3 linked regions of the Macaca mulatta genome follow. The protein of the gene in region 2 purifies or fractionates together with the protein of the main gene of each other region. This does not show direct contact. Links are inferred from orthologs where the notes say so. Each region holds a gene or a part of one and is shown on either strand. Other genes may lie near its edges. The genes, in order: PPIL2, ZNF830 and PPIE.

Evidence for each region.
Region 1: the proteins of ZNF830 (region 2) and PPIL2 purify together in Homo sapiens (co-immunoprecipitation; 4 studies listed by BioGRID and IntAct, counting the BioPlex papers as one, with this or other methods). This does not show direct contact. The link is inferred for Macaca mulatta from reciprocal best matches to the Homo sapiens genes ZNF830 and PPIL2.
Region 3: the proteins of ZNF830 (region 2) and PPIE purify together in Homo sapiens (affinity purification with mass spectrometry; 3 studies listed by BioGRID and IntAct, counting the BioPlex papers as one, with this or other methods). This does not show direct contact. The link is inferred for Macaca mulatta from reciprocal best matches to the Homo sapiens genes ZNF830 and PPIE.

Annotation. Positions count from the first base shown.
Region 1 is NC_133415.1:31,326,438-31,332,902, forward strand, and holds the start of PPIL2 (RING-type E3 ubiquitin-protein ligase PPIL2), read right to left. Parts: upstream 3,674-6,465; 5' UTR 3,583-3,673; coding exon 3,551-3,582; exon of another isoform or gene 3,508-3,550; intron 113-3,507; coding exon 63-112; intron 1-62. UniProt on the Homo sapiens protein: Has a ubiquitin-protein ligase activity acting as an E3 ubiquitin protein ligase or as an ubiquitin-ubiquitin ligase promoting elongation of ubiquitin chains on substrates.
Region 2 is NC_133421.1:44,479,655-44,485,459, forward strand, and holds ZNF830 (zinc finger protein 830), read left to right. Parts: upstream 1-3,061; 5' UTR 3,062-3,088; coding exon 3,089-4,207; 3' UTR 4,208-4,622; downstream 4,623-5,805. Other genes in the region: CCT6B (T-complex protein 1 subunit zeta-2), read right to left, coding at 97-231, 1,114-1,177, 2,780-2,916.
Region 3 is NC_133406.1:201,026,935-201,032,729, forward strand, and holds part of PPIE (peptidyl-prolyl cis-trans isomerase E), read right to left. Parts: intron 3,787-5,795; coding exon 3,644-3,786; intron 3,409-3,643; coding exon of another isoform or gene 3,340-3,408; exon of another isoform or gene 2,998-3,339; intron 182-2,997; exon of another isoform or gene 1-181. UniProt on the Homo sapiens protein: Involved in pre-mRNA splicing as component of the spliceosome. Combines RNA-binding and PPIase activities.

The sequences.
Region 1 (6,465 bases), on a different chromosome or scaffold from region 2:
CTGAAGACACTGTTCCTTAATACCACTCCCCCAACGGGGAACAGAAAGACCGCAAGCCTTACCTGGCTTCTTGCCACCATAAAAGTGAGTATATTCAGCACAAGTAATGTACCTGAAGAAGAGAGGAAGATAATGCTATGACCACCACCTTTATACAGAGAACAAAGTCTTTGGAAGTGAGTAATCTTTGCTTATTCCGCATATGCTTATTAAACACCTATAAGCATGGGACGGGCATGGTGGTTAATGCCTGTAATCCCAACACTTTGGGAGCCCGAGGTGGGTGAATCACTAGAGGTCAGGAGTTTGGGACAAGCCTGGCCAACAAGGTGAAACCGCGTCTCTACTAAAATTACAAAAATTCGCTGGGCGGCCGGGCGCGGTGGCTCAAGCCTGTAATCCTAGCACTTTGGGAGGCCAAGACGGGCAGATCACGAGGTCGGGAGATCGAGACCATCCTGGCTAACACGGTGAAACCCCGTTTCTACTAAAAAAATACGAAAAACTAGCCGGGCGACATGGCGGGCGCCTGTAGTCCCAGCTACTCGGGAGGCTGAGGCAGGAGAATGGCGTAAACCCGGGAGGCGGAGCTTGCAGTGAGCTGAGATCCGGCCACTGCACTGCACTCTAGCCTGGGCAGCAGAGTGAGACTCCGTCTCAAAAAAAAAAAAAAAAAAAAAAAAAAAAAAATTCGCTGGGCGTGATGGTGGGTGCTTGTAATCCCAGCTACTCAGGAGGCTGAGGCAGAGAATTGCTTGAACCTGGGAGGCAGACGTTGCAGTGAACCGAGATCGCACCACTATACTCCAGCCTGGGCGACAGAGTAAGACTTGTCTCAAAAAAAAAAAAAAAAAAAAAAAAAAAAAAAAAAAAAAAAGGATATAGTTTATTCTTTAGGCGTAGGGGTGGGTAACTTAACCAGGGAAGTTGTCTGGCATGACTATAGGTTCTATTTATAATTTGGTATCTTATTGCCACAAAGAGTCTGTTTCATCAATCTTATTTCTATTTCTTTATTTTTATTAAAAATTAGCCACCACGCTCGGCTAATTTTTTTTTTTTTTGTATTTTTAGTAGAGACGGGGTTTCACCATGTTAACCAGGATGGTCTCGATCTCCTGACCTCATGATCCACCACCTCAGCCTCCCAAAGTGCTGGGATTACAGGTGCGAGCCACCGCGCCGGGCCCCTTTATGATCTCTATTTCAACGTTAATGCCAGTCAGTTGTTGTGTCTGGGCCACAAAAGGGAGGAAGATATAACAAGGTACAGCTGACCTCCATCGCATCATGGCCAGGAACTCAGTTTTAAGGTTTTCCTGGAGTTCTCTTAGGCACAAGGGTGTCTGCTCAGCCAGTAAGGGGATTTAGGATTTTATTTTTAGCTTACAGGGAGGAGCAGGCTCAGGAGCTGAAAATCAAGAGTTCTGTTTAAGGCATATTAAATTTGAGGGCACGGTGGCTCATGCCTGTAATCCCAGCACTTTGGGAGGCAGAGGCGTGTGGATCACCCGAGGTCAGGAGTTTGATACCAGCCTGGCCAACATGGTGAAACCTGTCTCTACTAAAAATACAAAAATTAGCCGGGCATGGTGGCAGGCGCCTGTAATCTCAGCTACTGGGGAGGCGGAGGTGGGAGAATCGCTTGAATCTGGGAAGTAGAGGTTGCAGTGAGCCAAGATCGCACCATTGCACTCCAGCCTGGGCAACACAGCAAGACTCCATCTCAAAAAAAAAAAAAATTGAGGCCGGGCGCGGTGGCTCAAGCCTGTAATCCCAGCACTTTGGGAGGCCGAGACGGGCGGATCACGAGGTCAGGAGATCGAGACCACAGTGAAACCCCGTCTCTACTAAAAATACAAAAAATTAGCCGGGCGCGGTGGCGGGCGCCTGTAGTCCCAGCTACTCAGGAGGCTGAGGCAGGAGAATGGCGTGAACCCAGGAGGCGGAGCTTGCAGTGAGCCGAGATCGCGCCACTGCACTCCAGCCTGGGCAACAGCCTGAGACTCCCGTCTCAAAAAAAAAAAAAAAAAAAAAAAAAAAAAAAAAATTGAGATGTTTATCAGTCCTCCAGTGGAGATATCAAGTAAGCCACTAACTACACAAGACTGGGGAAAGCAGCTTATAGATGACTGGGAAATTATATCACTCACAGAGAATGTTTATGGAAAAGAAACCTATGAGATCTGAGAAAAGGGAGGAGGGTCCAGAAAGGAGGCTGGGAAAAGAGAGGCCGCTGAAGTCGATGGAAAACAAAGAGCACAGGAAATCTCAGATACCAAAGGAGGGCTTCAGAAGGAGGGAGTGGTTAACAGTGTGACATACTGTTGAGAACCCCAACAAAATGAGGACTGAGGCTGCCTGGCGCGGTGGCTCGCCTATAATCCCAGTACTTTGGGAGGCCAAGGCGGGCGGATCACCTGAGATCGGAGTTCGAGACCAGCCTGACCAACATGGAGAAACCCCCTTCTCTACTAAAAATACAAAATTAGCCGGGCCTGGGGGCACATGCCTGTAATCCCAGCTATTCGGGAGGCTGAAGCAGGAGAATCGCTTGAACCTGGGAAGCGGGGGTTGCGGAAAGCCGAGATCGCACCACTGCACTCCCCAGCATGGGCAACAAGAGCGAAACTCCGTCTCAAAAAAAACACGAGGACTGAGGATTGAATACTAGAGTTAGCAACAAGAAGTCGCTGGCAACCTGACAAGGGGCAGTTCTGGGATCGAAATTCTGACTTGAGTGGTTTCAAGAGACTCAGAAAACAGCATGAAGCCACGGGTCTCTAACTTGTTCTGAAATCACGGCGGCAGCAGGAGGGGAACGCGGGGCACGGGGCATAGGCGGATTTTTTTGTTTTATTTTATTTATTATTTTTGAGACAGAGTCTGGCTCTGTCGCCCAGGCTGGAGTGCAGTGACACGATCTCGGCTCACGGCAATCTCCGCCTCCCGGGTTCAAGCGATTCTCCTGCCTCAGCCTCCCGAGTAGCTAGGATTACAGGCGCCCGCCACCACGCCCCGCTAATTTTTGTGTTTTGGGTAGAGACGGGGTTTCATCATGGTGGCCAGGCTGGTCTTGAACTCCTGACCTCAGGTGATCCGCCCGCCTCAGCCTCCCAAAGTGCTGGGATTACAGGTGAGCCACCGCGCCCGGCCTGGTTTGCTTTAAATAGGAAGGCTCTGCAGCACGTGTGCAGGCTGATAGGCATGAACCAGAACACAGCCAGACGCGAAGTACGGAAGAGGGAGAGACTACAGGGGCAAAGCTCGCGAGCAGACGGGGCACGGTCCGGGCAGAACTAGAGTAAAGAAAGACCGGGCTGCGCTCGAGCCCGCAGCTGACGTCTTCGGAGCCGCGGCCCCCTGGGAGAGCGCGGCGGCCCGAGGGTCATTACCCTGACTGGAGAGACGGTGGCAGCTTCCGGGAGGAAGTGACTTTTGGGCTGGGCTCTGGGGACCAGCTGAGAGGGAAGGCGAGCGGCGAGCAGGGCGGGACAGGCGGTTTACTGAGGCAGAGCGGAGCGCCACTCCCGACTGCGACTCAACTTACATCTTGTCCTTCTGGTGCTGTCGCTTCCCCATGGCGGCGCGGCGGCGGCGGCAACTACCTAGCACGAAAAAGCAACCGCTGACCACTCAGACCATGGAGCCACGGCCGAGTTTCGTGACCACTTCCGGGTTCCGCGGCTCGCCCCGGAAACAGGCGCTTGGCGTGCTGGGAATTGTGGTTCGCTAGCGCCAGGTGCGCATGCTCGGAAGGATCGCCTGCCCAGTATGGGGTCCTAGCTAGGTGTGTTGTGTCTCGCTGGCGCCTTCTCGGGGCAGAGCTCCCTCAGCCTCGAAGCCCCATCTTCTCGAAGGGTCTCTCCCGACCGCCTCGCCTGCCCCCCTCAGCCACGGCTCAGGGCCATTCCCATACTGGGTTCTCAGGTCTTATTTTATTTTCGAGACAGGATCTCGCTCTGTCGCCCAGGTTGGAGTGCAGTGGCGCAATCACAGCTCACTACAGCCTCGACCTCCCAGGCTCAAGCGATTCTCCCACCTCAGCCTCCCGAGTAGCTACGGGCACGCGCCACCACACCCGGCTAATATGTTAATTTTTTGTAGAGACAAGCTCTTACTATTTTGCCCAGGCTGGTCTGGAGCTCTTGAGCTCAAGCAGTCCTCCCGCCTTGGCCTCCCAAAGTGCTGGGATTACAGGCCTGAGCCTCCGCGCCCGGCCAGCGCTCAGGTCTTTTTCAATGTCCTCCTAGAGCTTCAAGTCTCATGAGCCTCCACCCCATCCTTTCCCGCCTCCGTGGCCGACTCCTTCAAAGCCATGTACCACCCTCGTTCTACTCGCTCACTTCTCATTCTCTCTGCATATTCCGTCCGCACCGCCTCCAGGCCCCTTGGAGGCCCAGCAGCAGGTGGCCATCAAGCCTAGAGGTCCAAAACCCTGCCTGATCCCTTCCTTCTCTTCTGCCAGACTCTTGCCTTGGGTCAGAACAGTACCTTGGGCCCCCAACTACACTCAGGCCCGGGGTAATCTTGCCTAGGCTCCTAATTTTAAACGCCATTTATATCCCATGACTCCCAATACTAAGTCACCAGTACTCCAGGTTCCTGATCTCCACTTGGGTAGCCGCTGATCTCAAATTTAACATGTCTGGACGGACGTGGTGGCTCACACCTGTAATCCCGGCACTTGGAGAGGCTGAGGCAAGCGGATCACTTGAGGTCAGGAGTTCAAGACTAGCCTGGCCAACATTGCAAAACCCTGTCTCTACTAAAAATACAAAAATTAGCCGGGTGTGGTGGCGGGTGCCTGTAGTTCCAGCTACTCAGGAGGTTGAGGCAGTGAGAATCACTTGAACCCAGGAGGCAGAGGTTGCAGTGAGCCAAGATTGTGCCATTGTACTCCAGCCTGGGGTGACAGAACAAGACTCTGTCTCAAAGAAAAAAAAAAAACTGGAAACAAATGTCTATGAGAACACAGCTAAACGACCCCTGGTACAGCCATGCAGTGGACTATTTTGGAACTGCTTAAAGGAATGAAGTAGATATCCCAAGAAGTAAAGACATCTCAGTGTTTTATTTATGGAAAAAAGCAAGTTGCTGAGAAGAACGTGCAATGTGACTCGTACTTGGGTTAAAATTTTAATGTATGTGTGTGTGTTTGTGTGCAGAGACAAAACATTTGGAAGGGTACACATGAAACTCATAGCAGCAGTGGACTCGTATTTTCTGTATTCACTTCTGTATTGTGAACTTTTTTCCATGGAACATGGTCTGCATTTGTAGAAGTTTAAAAACCAATTAAGGCCGGATGCAGTGGCTCATGCCTGTAATTCCAGCACTTTGGGAGGCTGAGGCAGGTGGATCACCTGAGGACAGAAGTTCAAGACCAGTCTGGCCAACATGGTGAAACCCCATCTCTACTAAAAATACAAAAATTAGCTGGGCATGGTGGCATGTGCCTGTGATCCCAGCTCCTTAGGAGGCTGAGGCATGGTAATCGCTTGAACCCGGGAGGCGGAGGTTGCAGTGAACCGAGATCGTGCCACTGCACTCCAGCCTTGGCAACAGAGCAAAACTCTGTCTCTAAATAAGTGAGCAAACAAATAAATACAAACCAATTAAAAATAACCCATTTGTGGTGATGCACCATGATGACTCAGTCAGAAAATACAATGCACCAATAACCTAAAAATTGACCCCATTGGAGAAATATTTCAACAAGCAAGAACAGTTGAGGCCGGGCACGGTCGCTCACGCCTGTAATCCCAGAGTTTTGGGAGGCCGAGGCGGGTGGATCACGAGGTCAGGAGATGGAGACCATCCTGGCTAACAGGGTGAAACCCTCTCTCTACTAGAAATACAAAAAATTATCCGGGCGTGGTGGCGGGCGCCTGTAGTTCCAACTACTCAGGAGGCTGAGGCAGGAGAAAGGCATGAACCTGAGAAGCGGAGCTTGCAGTGAACGGAGATGCGTCAGTACACTCCAGCCTGGGCGACAGAGTGAGACTCCATCTCAGAAAAAAAAAAAAGAAAAAACAGTTGAGTAAATGATGTTCCACCCATTTGATGGAGTATTTTGCATCTGTTGTTATTGGTGAAATTGAAGATTTATTATTATTTTTTGAGACGGAGATCAGGACCATCCTGGCCAACATGATGAAACCCCATCTAAGAAAAAAAAAATTAGCCAGGCGTGGTGGCGGGTGCCTGTAATCCCAGATACTCGAGAGGCTGAGGCAAGAGAATCACTTGAACTTGGGAGGGGGAGGTTGCAGTGAGCCAAGATGGCGCCATTGCACTCTAGCCTGGGCAACAGGAGTGAAACTGTCTCAAAAACAACCAAAAAAGCCAATCTGGTAAGATTTCCATAGCTAAAATGAGTATCTTCCTATAGCCTTGAAAGTACAGGATTTTCTGCTGGGCACGGTGGGTCACGCCTGTAATCCCACCACTTTGGGAGGCCGA
Region 2 (5,805 bases):
TAAAACAAAAATAACATCTAAAATGCAATCATTTTACTAGTTAAAAAAATAACTTGCCATTCAAAATAACATATAAACTCTGTGAAATTCTAATACCTCAGAAATGTACAGATCAGCTTGTTTTAATAACTCTCCAATAATTAGAACATTTGAAGTAGTACCATCTCCTGTGACGTCATCCTGAGCTGTTGCTACTTTTGCTATCAAGGAAGCTGTTGGATGTTGAATTTGCTGGAAAAAGCAAGCAACAGATTTAAAAAGAGAGGATGAGATAAGAAAGTAGGTCACCAAAAACAAGATAACCTAGGGGTCAGCAGTAAAATTAAAAAATGAAATAAGCTTCATTCTACAAGTTTACAAGTTTTGTAATATCAATACCTAAATGTCAAGTCCAAAATTTTAAAAGTGACAGGTAATGAGGTCTGAAGATTTCATAAGTCTTTGCTTCAGAATGCAATGACATTTCTAAAATAAGATTAAATCCTTCAATCTCAAAATGAATACATTTATTAAACTTGCAAAGGATATTTTTATTTTTCCATAATTACAAAGAACATAAGGCAGTACCCCAAAAGATATTATTAATTTATAAGTATGTCTAAGTATACAACATATGTATAAGTATACAAAGACTTGGAAAGAGCCAGAAAAAAAAACTCTTTTTTTTTTTTTTTTGAGACAGTGTTTCACTCTGTCACCCAGGCTGGAGTGCAGTGGCACGATCTCAAGTTCACTGCAGCCTTGGCCTCCTGGGCTCAAGTGATCCTCTTACCTCAGCCTCCTGAGTAGCTGGGACTACAGGCACATGCTACAACACTGAGCAAATTTCTTTTTTTTTTTTTTTTGTAGAGACGGGTTTCACCAAGCCTGGTCTTGAACTCCTGGGCTCAAGCAATTTGGCCACCTCAGCCTCCCAAAGTGTTGGGATTACAGGAGTGAGTTACCACACCCGGCCAAAAAAAATTTTTTTATTGAAGTCTAATTCAACAAGCATATCTCAAGACTCAAGACTGCAGTATTTAGCTGACAGCCTTGGCTTACAGATACACAAGTTCTACTATGCTCCTAATTAAGGCTTATTAAGGTTTATTAAAGTCAGCAGCATCAGCTCACCATCTCTTGGAGCAGCACATTGCCATCTTTGGTGAGTTTGATGTCACCTGCACCAGAAACAAGCCTGTTCAGAGAACAACGATATTAACTTCATGTGGTAGGAAGACACTCCCAGTGCTTGCCATCCCATTATCCTCAACAGAGGGAACTGGGCTTGGAAAACTACTGTACCATGGGAATATGCCATGGTAATTACCACCATTTGCAGCTCACAGAATCATTTCTCCCCAGATGGACAGCTTATGGCGATTTCATTCCAAATGGACCATTTACAGATTTAAAGATAAAAGCAGTTGATGAGTTATGAAAAGTGGTTTGGTCAAAGAATACTTGAAAGTCTACAAAGCACAAATCTGCAAATTTCCTGCAGGTTTTTATTTTGGTGAACGTTTTCATTCAGTCAGTCACTCTAGTTTCCCTCATCCCTGCATTTATTAGATCACCAAGTTCTATCAATTCTACTACCTAAATATCTCTTGAATCTGCCCCCTTCTCTCCATCTCCACTGTTATCATCTCTACCTTGGATAGCATCCAGTTATCTCCAAACTAAAATACACCCTCCACACATTTTTCTTTCTAAAAGGCAACGTGATTCAGTCAGTTCCCTGATCAAAAGTCCTCCAATGATTTTTATGTTTTTCATCATTTTCAAGTTAAAATCCAAACACAGCAGACACTTGACCTTTCTCAATCTGGTTTATGTCTCTCTTCCCTGACTCATCTACTTTCCCACAAGCAAATCTTCTGGTTCCCTTAATACACCATGTTTTGTTTTTTCTATTGGATTTGCACCATTGGTCTTTCTTATTCCTGAAATTACTCTGCCCAGAAGGCCTTTACTCCCTCTTCCAACCCAAGACTCTGATCAAACATCATTTAAGATGCTTGTCCTTCTGCCATCAGTAATTATTCCCTTTCCTCAGCATAATCATATGCATCTATATATAATTAGCACATCCTACTCTACCACATCCGTCTCTACCACATCTCCTTAAGAACAGAAACTGTATCTTGATCATTTCTGTGTCCCAGCAACTAGTACCTAAGTGACTTATTTTACCATTAATATTAATTTATTTTGTTCATTACTATGAGGATGTGTCTCTCCTCTTATACCCTTTTTTCCTCACTGGTCTCTTTTCCTCACTCTTGTCTAGAGAAAACGGTGCTTAATATATACTGAAAAGATGAATAGATATGAAGAACCACAGACACAGGGTATTAAGTAGAAATTGGATTTGACCTCATGCCCTCCTGGCTCCAAAGCCTGTGCCCTCTCCACTACAATACATTGCCACACAAAATACAAAACTAACTACTTGTTGAATTTATGGACTAAAGGTATACAGTCTTAAAGAGCAGAGAAGTTAAATGCTTTATGTTTCCAATAAGACACTAAATTAACTGACTTTCTAACTGCATATGAACCTTGACGAAAAGTAGGGTGTCGGGGGAGCGTCACAATTTCACTCCTGGGGCCTTCTAGGGGAGGCTTTTCTCCTCCACCTGCACCAGGCGAGAAATACCCTCAGGACAGGGATGAGAATGAGGGAAATCAAGCTCGCAAGAACATCCACAGCGCTCCACGGACGCCTGCCTCAGAGGGCTCCAGGACACCCAACAAGCCCCCGGCCGCCTAACGGCCGCTCCAACCGCCGTCTCACATTTTCATGGTGCCTTTAGGACCCAAGTTGGTCCGCAGCACATCCTGCAACCCTCGGGCGGCGCATATATTGACAGACAAAGCTGCCTGGGCCCGCGCCACCTCAGCCTTGGAGTTTACGGCCTTTATCGCAGCCATAGCCTAATCGTTCACAGGAAAAAAAAAAAAAGCCTTAGTCGCGCTTCTGAGCAAAAACGCCAACGCTACGCCACGCTCTCTTGAACCTCGGCCAATCATCGCCCTTACAGGAAGTGACATTATCAAGCCTCGCCGGACGGAAACCAGAATCGCTTTGGGTCTGGTCGCCAAGATGGCGTCCTCCGCCTCCGCCAGGACTCCGGCCGGGAAGCGAGTGGTAAATCAGGAAGAATTGCGGCGGTTAATGAAGGAGAAGCAGCGTCTGAGCACCAATCGGAAACGGATAGAATCTCCATTCGCGAAGTACAACCGTTTGGGGCAGCTGAGTTGTGCCCTGTGTAACACCCCGGTTAAGAGCGAGCTCCTGTGGCAGACTCACGTCCTGGGAAAGCAGCACCGAGAGAAAGTGGCCGAGCTGAAAGGCGCGAAGGAAGCCAGCCAGGGTTCGTCCGCCAGCTCAGCGCCTCAGACCGTCAAGAGGAAAGCGCCGGACGCAGACGGCCAAGACGCCAAGAGAGCGAAGGCCACCTTGGTGCCTCAGGTACAGCCCTCCACATCTGCGTTGCCCACCAACTTTGACAAAATAGGAAAGGAGTTCATTAGAACGACTTCCAGTAAGCCTTCAGGACTCAGTTTACTCCCCGATTATGAAGATGAGGAGGAGGAGGAAGAGGAGGAGGAAGGAGATGGAGAAAGAAAAAGGGGGGACGCCAGCAAGCCGCTGTCCGACGCACAGGGCAAGGAGCACTCAGTTTCTTCTTCGCGGGAGGTAACAAGTAGTGTGCTGCCAGACGATTTCTTTAGTACTAATCCTCCCAAGGCCCCCATAATTCCTCATTCAGGGTCAATTGAGAAAGCAGAAATACATGAAAAAGTGGTGGAAAGGAGAGAAAACACCGCGGAAGCGTTACCGGAAGGTTTTTTTGACGACCCTGAGGTAGATGCAAGGGTGCGAAAGGTTGATGCCCCAAAAGATCAGATGGACAAAGAGTGGGACGAATTCCAAAAAGCCATGAGGCAGGTCAACACTATTTCCGAAGCCATAGTTGCCGAAGAGGATGAGGAGGGACGGTTGGACCGCCAGATTGGGGAGATCGATGAGCAGATAGAGTGTTATCGACGGGTGGAAAAGCTACGGAATCGCCAGGATGAAATAAAAAATAAACTTAAAGAAATCCTGACCATAAAAGAACTGCAGAAAAAGGAAGAAGAGAATGCTGACAGCGATGATGAGGGGGAACTACAGGATTTGTTGTCTCAGGATTGGAGAGTGAAAGGGGCATTGTTATAAGGTTTTAAAGACCCAAGGTTTCTAACAGCCTCTGCTATTGTATAAAAGTGCTGTCTCTCAGTAGTATATCGGTTACTTCATGCCTAGAGATTTGGGTACCTGGATTGCTAAACTGGATTGTTAAGATAAAATGAGCCAGTGAGCTACAGCACTTTGGAAAATTTGTGTAAAATGTTTTTGAGGTAAAGTTGTTTTTGAAATTTCTGAAGTGTTATATACCAAAATGCCAACTGTTCCACAACAGACTTAACTGTATACTTTCGTTGTAAATATTGTACATAGTTAAATCTATATTAAGTAATTCTGTTTTGAATTTTTTTAAATTAATAGACCAACCGGCAAACTTTTAGATGAATGCTCACTGTGGTATTTGTAATGTATTTATCTTCTGAACCCTACATCAAGTTGAAAAGGTTTGTTTTCTTGTTTCTTTGGTTTTTTAAGAACACTTCATGAACACATAAGTCATTATAGGTTAATCAGTTCTCTTAGTATGCTTCATTTTAAAAACAGAAAAATATATGCCAAACACGATCAGCCTCCCTAAACCAGTTTCCCTGGACTAGACCAATGCTGCTCAGATGTGGTTGCACGTGAGAATCACCTATGAAGTATTAAAATAAATTCAAGTGTCTGAGGCCTTCCCCTTCAATAAATCTGGGATGAGGTCCAGGCAACTGTGTTTTTTAAAGCTCCCAGGTTATTCCAATATATGCCAGGATTTAAAGAGTAACTGCCCTAAATCCAGAACCCATTTATGTTTTTCTTTAAATAACATTCCATAAATTTGCTGTTTCTTGAATGAAGGAAATATTATCTTTTATTTATTTCATCCAGCCTTAAATTTTGTTATTTGGTGGTAAATTAGAGTTCCTTGTTTGCAGGTCCTATCTATTGTAGAAAGAATATTTAAGTTGTCTTTCCAGCAGTAACAGTTGGCTCTTGCTGGTCATTGATAGTTTAAATCACTCCTTCCTTTAGAGATTGAGGTACTCAAATAGGAAAAGGGACTTAGCAGTGTTCTGGAGTAGAAATGCATACAGCATATTCAAATAAAAGTGAGCAATAATAATAATAGCTAAGACCTATATAGTTCTTAGTATGGGCCAGGTATGGTTGTAAGTGCTTTACATATATTAACTCAATCTAGTTTCCCTAAATTCCTTTTTTATGGAGAGGAGTACCAAGAGATAAGGTTTGAAAAGCTTTGAATGCTAAGTGAAAACTTTTTATGAAGTTCATATGAAAATGGAGGTTTTGAGCGAAGAATGACATCTGCAAAGAAATATCATGGAACATTAACAGTATATAGAATGGAATGAACACAGGGTAGAAGGAAACTAGGAGCTATTTGAAAACTATATTTTCAAAAGCGAGGTGACAAGACTGATTAGCTGTGGATTGGGAGAAAAGGAATAGAAGTGAAAGATTTTCAAAGGAATAGCTAAATTTTAGTGACTAGAAGTGGAAGAAGAAAAACAGGAGGGATAAGTACAGAATTCAAGATTTTGTATTTAGTGTCACTGCCTAAAAGGATTTATCTAACACTTATTGAACAGTTGCTGTGTACCACAAATTATTATTAATAATTGTCCTGC
Region 3 (5,795 bases), on a different chromosome or scaffold from region 2:
TGGTGACTTTATTTCTAGGCTTTTTTTCTTAAGATATACAAATACCTATGCTTACATATAACAGATATTTTTACAAAATTGTACTATATATGTTTCTTTGTGATGTGCTTTTTCCACTTTAGTTTCCCATCACTGAACTCTACAAGACTCCATTTTCAACAATAAAAAGTTGGTTCCATAATTCCTTCTTCAGAGGTTGCTGTGAGGCTGCCATGACTGCAACAGATGCTGGGAGCACCTGGAGGTGGCTGTCACGCTGTAAGAGAGGAAACTCCAACAGCCACAGCACTCATCCTGGGCCTGCCATCCCTGGTTTCGGCTTTTGCAACTGTTTCAGGGCCAGCATGTGGGGACTCAGATGGGGCTCAACTCTGAATGAGTTAGTGGGTAAATGAATCAGCAAAAGGAAGCCCTGTGCCCAGTCCTGGTGCTGGTCCAGCAAAGGGAACGTGGATTGGAAGGCCAGTTGGGACAGGAGCCACATAGTGCCAGGGAAAGCCGCTTTGCTCTCCAGGCTACAGGAAAGGGCACCCACAGAGCCACTGGGTCCACTTCCCAGAGAGGTCAGTTTTCTCAAGGCAGCCAGGGGCAGCTGCTGCATGGTGCGTATCCGAAGCAGGTGGCCAGGCTGTGGGGCATTCCGCTGCCCAGCTCTGGGGCTCCCCTCCCGGCCTGGAAGAACAGGGTCTTGTCTCCTGTGTCTCTCCACAAAGGTCCTGGCCAATCATGGGAACCTTGACGGTGTCACTCCCCAGGGCTGTGGACTCTGCCTGCCACAGATTGAGGCTAAAGCCTAGTAAGCCACCCAGGACTCCGTTACTACTGAAGAGAGACAGGCTGGGCTTCTAATCCCAGCTCTGCCAAACCATCCTGTGTGACCTTTGGCAGTCATACCACTAAAGCCTCAGTTTACCTGTGCAGGGTTCCAGTGTGCATTGAATAACATCTGTGGACACCCAGGTGGAGCACTGAGAGAGAAGTCCACACCCAGTGGCTCCAAACCTGCTGAGCTTTCAGAACTGCCCACTGGCCTCCACCTCCCCAGAATATCAGGGAGGAACAGAGTGACAAAATTGTCACAGGAGTCTGTCCTTTTATGGGAGGCTGGCTGTGCTTTTTCTACACACTCTCTCTTGGTTCTCATCCAAGCACTGAAGTCAGTGCTATCATCCCCAGCTTCATAGATGCCTGCCTAACACCTGTGACTGACCTCTGATGGCCATAATTTGCACTGAGAAGGAGCTGTGCTTTGAGGGACAGTCTCTTTTGGAAGCTCCACAGGGGTGAGGGGTAACCACGTGGTACATCCCAGCTACCTGGAGCCCGAAACTCAGCCAACTGTAGCAGTTGGAGCTCAGAAAGTCCAGTCGGCACATGGGAGCCACAGGCAGGGCCAGAATGCCAACATCCCTCAGCAGGAGCTATCCTAGGCTCATGAGGACCAGGGGGCCTCTCCTGCCTCGCGGCTCATTCAGATCTCAATCCAAGATGCAAAAGCTCAGCTCAGTGGATTCTGAATGGTCTGAGCGACCCAACCCACAGGAGGTGTCCAGCAGCTACAGGGCTCAGTCCCTGCTAAGAGCCTTCAGCAGATGAGATTCTTTACAAGCGCCTGGCTGACCAGCACCTGGAGGGGAATGGAGAGAAGCCAGCTCCAAGAAGTGGCTGCACACAGGAGAGCCAGACTGTGAGCCCAGCCGGGGGTGGGACCATTTGTTCTCTTCAGTGGCCAGCAATCCTGTTTTGTAAAGGCTCAGATAGTATTTTAGGCCTTGGGACTGTGATGGTCTATTTTGTGTGTCAATTTGACTAGGCCATGGTATCCAGTTTTTAGTCAAACACTAGTCTAGATGTTGCTGTGATGATGGTTTCTTTTTTTCGAGACAGGGTCTCACTCTGTCACCCAGGCTGGAGTACAGTGGCATGACCGTGGCTCAACCTCCCAGGTTCAAGTGATCCTCTCACCTCAGCCTTCTGAGTAGCTGGGACTACAGGCGTACACCACCATACCTGGCTTTTTTTTTTCCCCCCCTAGAGATGGGGGTCTCACTACATTGCCCAGGCTGGTCTTGAATTCCTGGGCTCAAGTGATCCTCCTGCCTCAGCCTCCCAATAGTTGCCTGGCCTATTTTTTAGATGGATTCATATTTAAGTCAGTAGAAAGTAAAGCAGATTACCCTCCATAATGTGAGTAGGCTTCATCCAATCAGTTGAAATTCTTAAGAGAAAAAAGACTGAGATCACTAGAGGAAGAATTCTGCTTCCAAAGTGCCTCAGACTTGCACTGCAACATCAGTTTTTTTCCTGAGTCTCCAGCCTGCTGGCCTGTTGTGCAGATTCCAGATCTGCCAGCTCCCACAACTGCCTGAGCCAGTTCCTTAAAATAAATCTCTCTCTCTACATATATACACATCCTATTGGTTCTGCTTCTCTAGAAAACCCTAATACAGGGACCATAGCCTGCATTGTGTCTACTACTCAATTTTGACACTGCAGTGAGAAACCACCATGGACAATATGTAAACAAATGGATGTGGCTGTGTTCCAATAAAACCTGATTCATAAAAACAGGCAGTGGGCTGGATTAGGCACATGTAGTTTGTTGGCCTTATGTTTCCTGACAAACAGGCATAGTACTTGGCACAGAGAAGGCACTCTGAGTTATAAAAATTTCATTTTTTAAAATCTGTAGGGCGAAAGTGAACAAACAAACGAACCACTGAGAGTATACTTGCTGGCTGTAAGACTGGCACCTGGGTTTGGGAGCAGAGGTAGCAGAAGACCAAACCTTCCATAGTCTTTAATTTCCGTTGCCCTGACACGGATGCCTGGTGTGAAGATACATCACCTGACATCTAAGGGGATCAGCCCAAGGGAGGAAATGAAAGCTGTGGAAAGATACTCTGCTCTCCCCACTCACCAGCCTGCCTCAGAGGTCCAGCTTAGCCACAGACACTATCTCTGGCAACTCCCAAGAACTAGCAGGAGGCAGCAGCATAAGAACAAGGGTTTATTTTAGCAAAGAAAACACCTAAGAGCCACACTGGTAGTCCCAGGACAGGCCCAGCAGCAAATGCTGAGAAAAGCCAGTGGCTTTTTACACAGCCTGCCCATGGTGGAGGGGAGCACCTGCGCTGGCTCCTGGGCCCACAGCCGCGCTTGGGAATAGTCCAGGCTGTGCCTGCAGAGGAGCTACTCCAAGCGGACCCTGAGGAAGGGCTCATACACCAAATGCTGCTTGCTTCAAACAGGCACCCTCGGTGCTGCCTCCTCTGAGGCTGGCAGCTCCTTCCTGGATGTGCAGGGGCAAGAGCGGAGGGGGAAGCAGAGAGTGCCGCCTCACACGTACTCCCCACAGTCGGCGATGATCACCTTCTGCTTTGGCTTCCCGTCCTTGCTGCCCTGGGCCTTTGTGGGCAGAACAGAAGTGAGGGAGTAAGGCGGGAAACTAACAGTAGTTTCGGGATGCCAACCCCTGCCTGCCCATATGCCCACTTCCACCCCAGAACCTGGGCAGCAGCAGCCCCTCCCGCTGGACACAGCCCCTGGCCATCTCTCTGAGGCCACAGAGCCTTTCCAGCCCTCCCACAGGGCTGTGCTCCAAGGGCCTGGGTGAGGAGGAGGCCCATTCCTGGCCACATACCTCAATTTGCTGCAAGACATCTAGGCCTTCGGTGACCTCTCCAAACACCACGTGCTTGCCATCCAGCCAGTCTGTTTTGTCACATGTCAGGAAGAACTGGGAGCCATTGGTGTTTGGGCCAGAGTTGGCCATGGAGAGTAGACCTGGGGGACAGAACAACCATCAGCTCCCCCAACCCTGGCTACCAGCCCTTAATGGACGTCTGTGCAGGCTGTCGACAGCCCTTCAGTCAGGCAGGCTCAGACTCCGGGATGCATAGACAACATGCAAATGTGGCCACCTTGTCTTTGATTCAGTTAATAGTCAGTGAAATGGTGAATGAGGTGTTTCAATCACTTTACACTGGTCTGTTCGTTCAGTAATTCATTTATTTAACAATTAAGTGTCTACTTGGCAACCAGGTCCCTGTTAAGCCCTGGGAACACTGATGAGCTGAACATAGTCCAAGCTCTGGTGGAGCTCACAGTCAGTGGAAAAGAGCCATTCAAAATGACAGCTATGACACAGTGAGGCCTGGTAACATGGACATTTGTCACATAAGAGAATGTACATATATATGTGTGTGTCTGTGTACATGTATGTATGTGTGTGTGTATGTGTCCACAATGACTCCTAAGTTTCTGATCAAGCGGTGGAGTCATTTATTGAAACAGAGAAGAGGGGGAAGAGGAAGAGTTTCGGGGAGAAGGCCAAGAGCTGTTTTAGACGTGTGAAGTGTGAGATGCTCCCAGGATATCCAGTAAAGACAGCTGGACAGGAGTCTGGAGCTCAGGGAGCCATCAGCATGCAGACGCCAATGTGCACAAGCTTAACTCAGAGATACTGCTGAAAGCTCTGGGACCGGGTGTGACTGCCTAGGGCACTGCTTCTCAGTGGGGTTGGTGTCCTGTCCCTAGGAAACCTTTGGAAATCTGAATTTATTTTTTTTGAGATGGGGATCACTCTGTCACCCAGGCTGGAGTGCAGTGGTATGATCGCAGCTCACTGCATCCTCAATCTCTGGGGCGCAAGCAATCCTCTCACCTCAGCTCCCAAGCAGCTGAGACTACAGGCATGTACCACCACACCTGGATAATTTTTTAATTCTTTTTTTGGTAGAGACAGGGGTCTCACTATGTTGCCCAGGCTGGTCTCAAACTCCTGAACTCACGTGATCGTCTGGCTTTGGGCTGCCACTTCAGACTCCCAAAGTGTTGGGATTACAGACATGAGCCACCATGCCTGGCTTGAAAGTGTTTTTGACTGTGTGAAACACTGTGCGGGGGGCTACTGCCATTTAGCAGGTGGGGGCCTGGAATGCTAGATGTTCTGCAATGTCTGGCACAATGAATTGTCTCATATCCTCTTGGTCTTTCAAACATCCTGCTAGAGATTGGGTGCAGTGGCTAATGCCTGTAATCCCAGCACTTTGGGAGGCTGAAGTGGGAGGATCACTTGAAGCTAAGAGTTCCAGACTAGCCTGAGCAATACAATGAAACCTCATCTCTACAAAAAAACTTAAAAATTAGCCGGGCATTATGGATGGCGTGCACCTGTAATCCCAGCTGTTTGGGAGGCTTAGGCAGGAGGACTGCTTTAGCTGGAGAGGTTGAGGCTACAGTGAGCTGTCTTGCACCACTGCACTCCAGCCTGAGCAACAGAGACCCTATCTCAAAAAAACAAAAACCAAACAACAACAAAACAACGAATAGCCCATTAGATATCGGTATAGGGAAAAAATGTGTTTACAGTTATCTGCACCTAAAACATAATTGCATTATACATATAAGCCCAAAGTTTTGGAGTTCTTTTGGTTTTGCATGGAATCTTCTAGGAATGTAACTACTATGTAAATAAACAGATTATTCTTTACTTTGGAATCTAATCAACTTTATTTACCATTTCACAAAGTCGTATCACCAATAGCATCATTGCTAGTGGTATCCAAGTTATCAGTTGACACTCCCGTCTACACTTCTAACTCTGCATTTGAGTACAGGTGCAGACGCCTGAATAATTCACTTTGTGTTCTGACACAGCTGTGCTTAAGCATGTACATCTGGAAACACATTCGATTACTATGCAAATTCATTTATTTCCTCTGATGTTCTTCCCTACTATAGTTACAGATATATTGAGTTTTAAAATAATGGTGTGGGTCAGTGGGCTATAT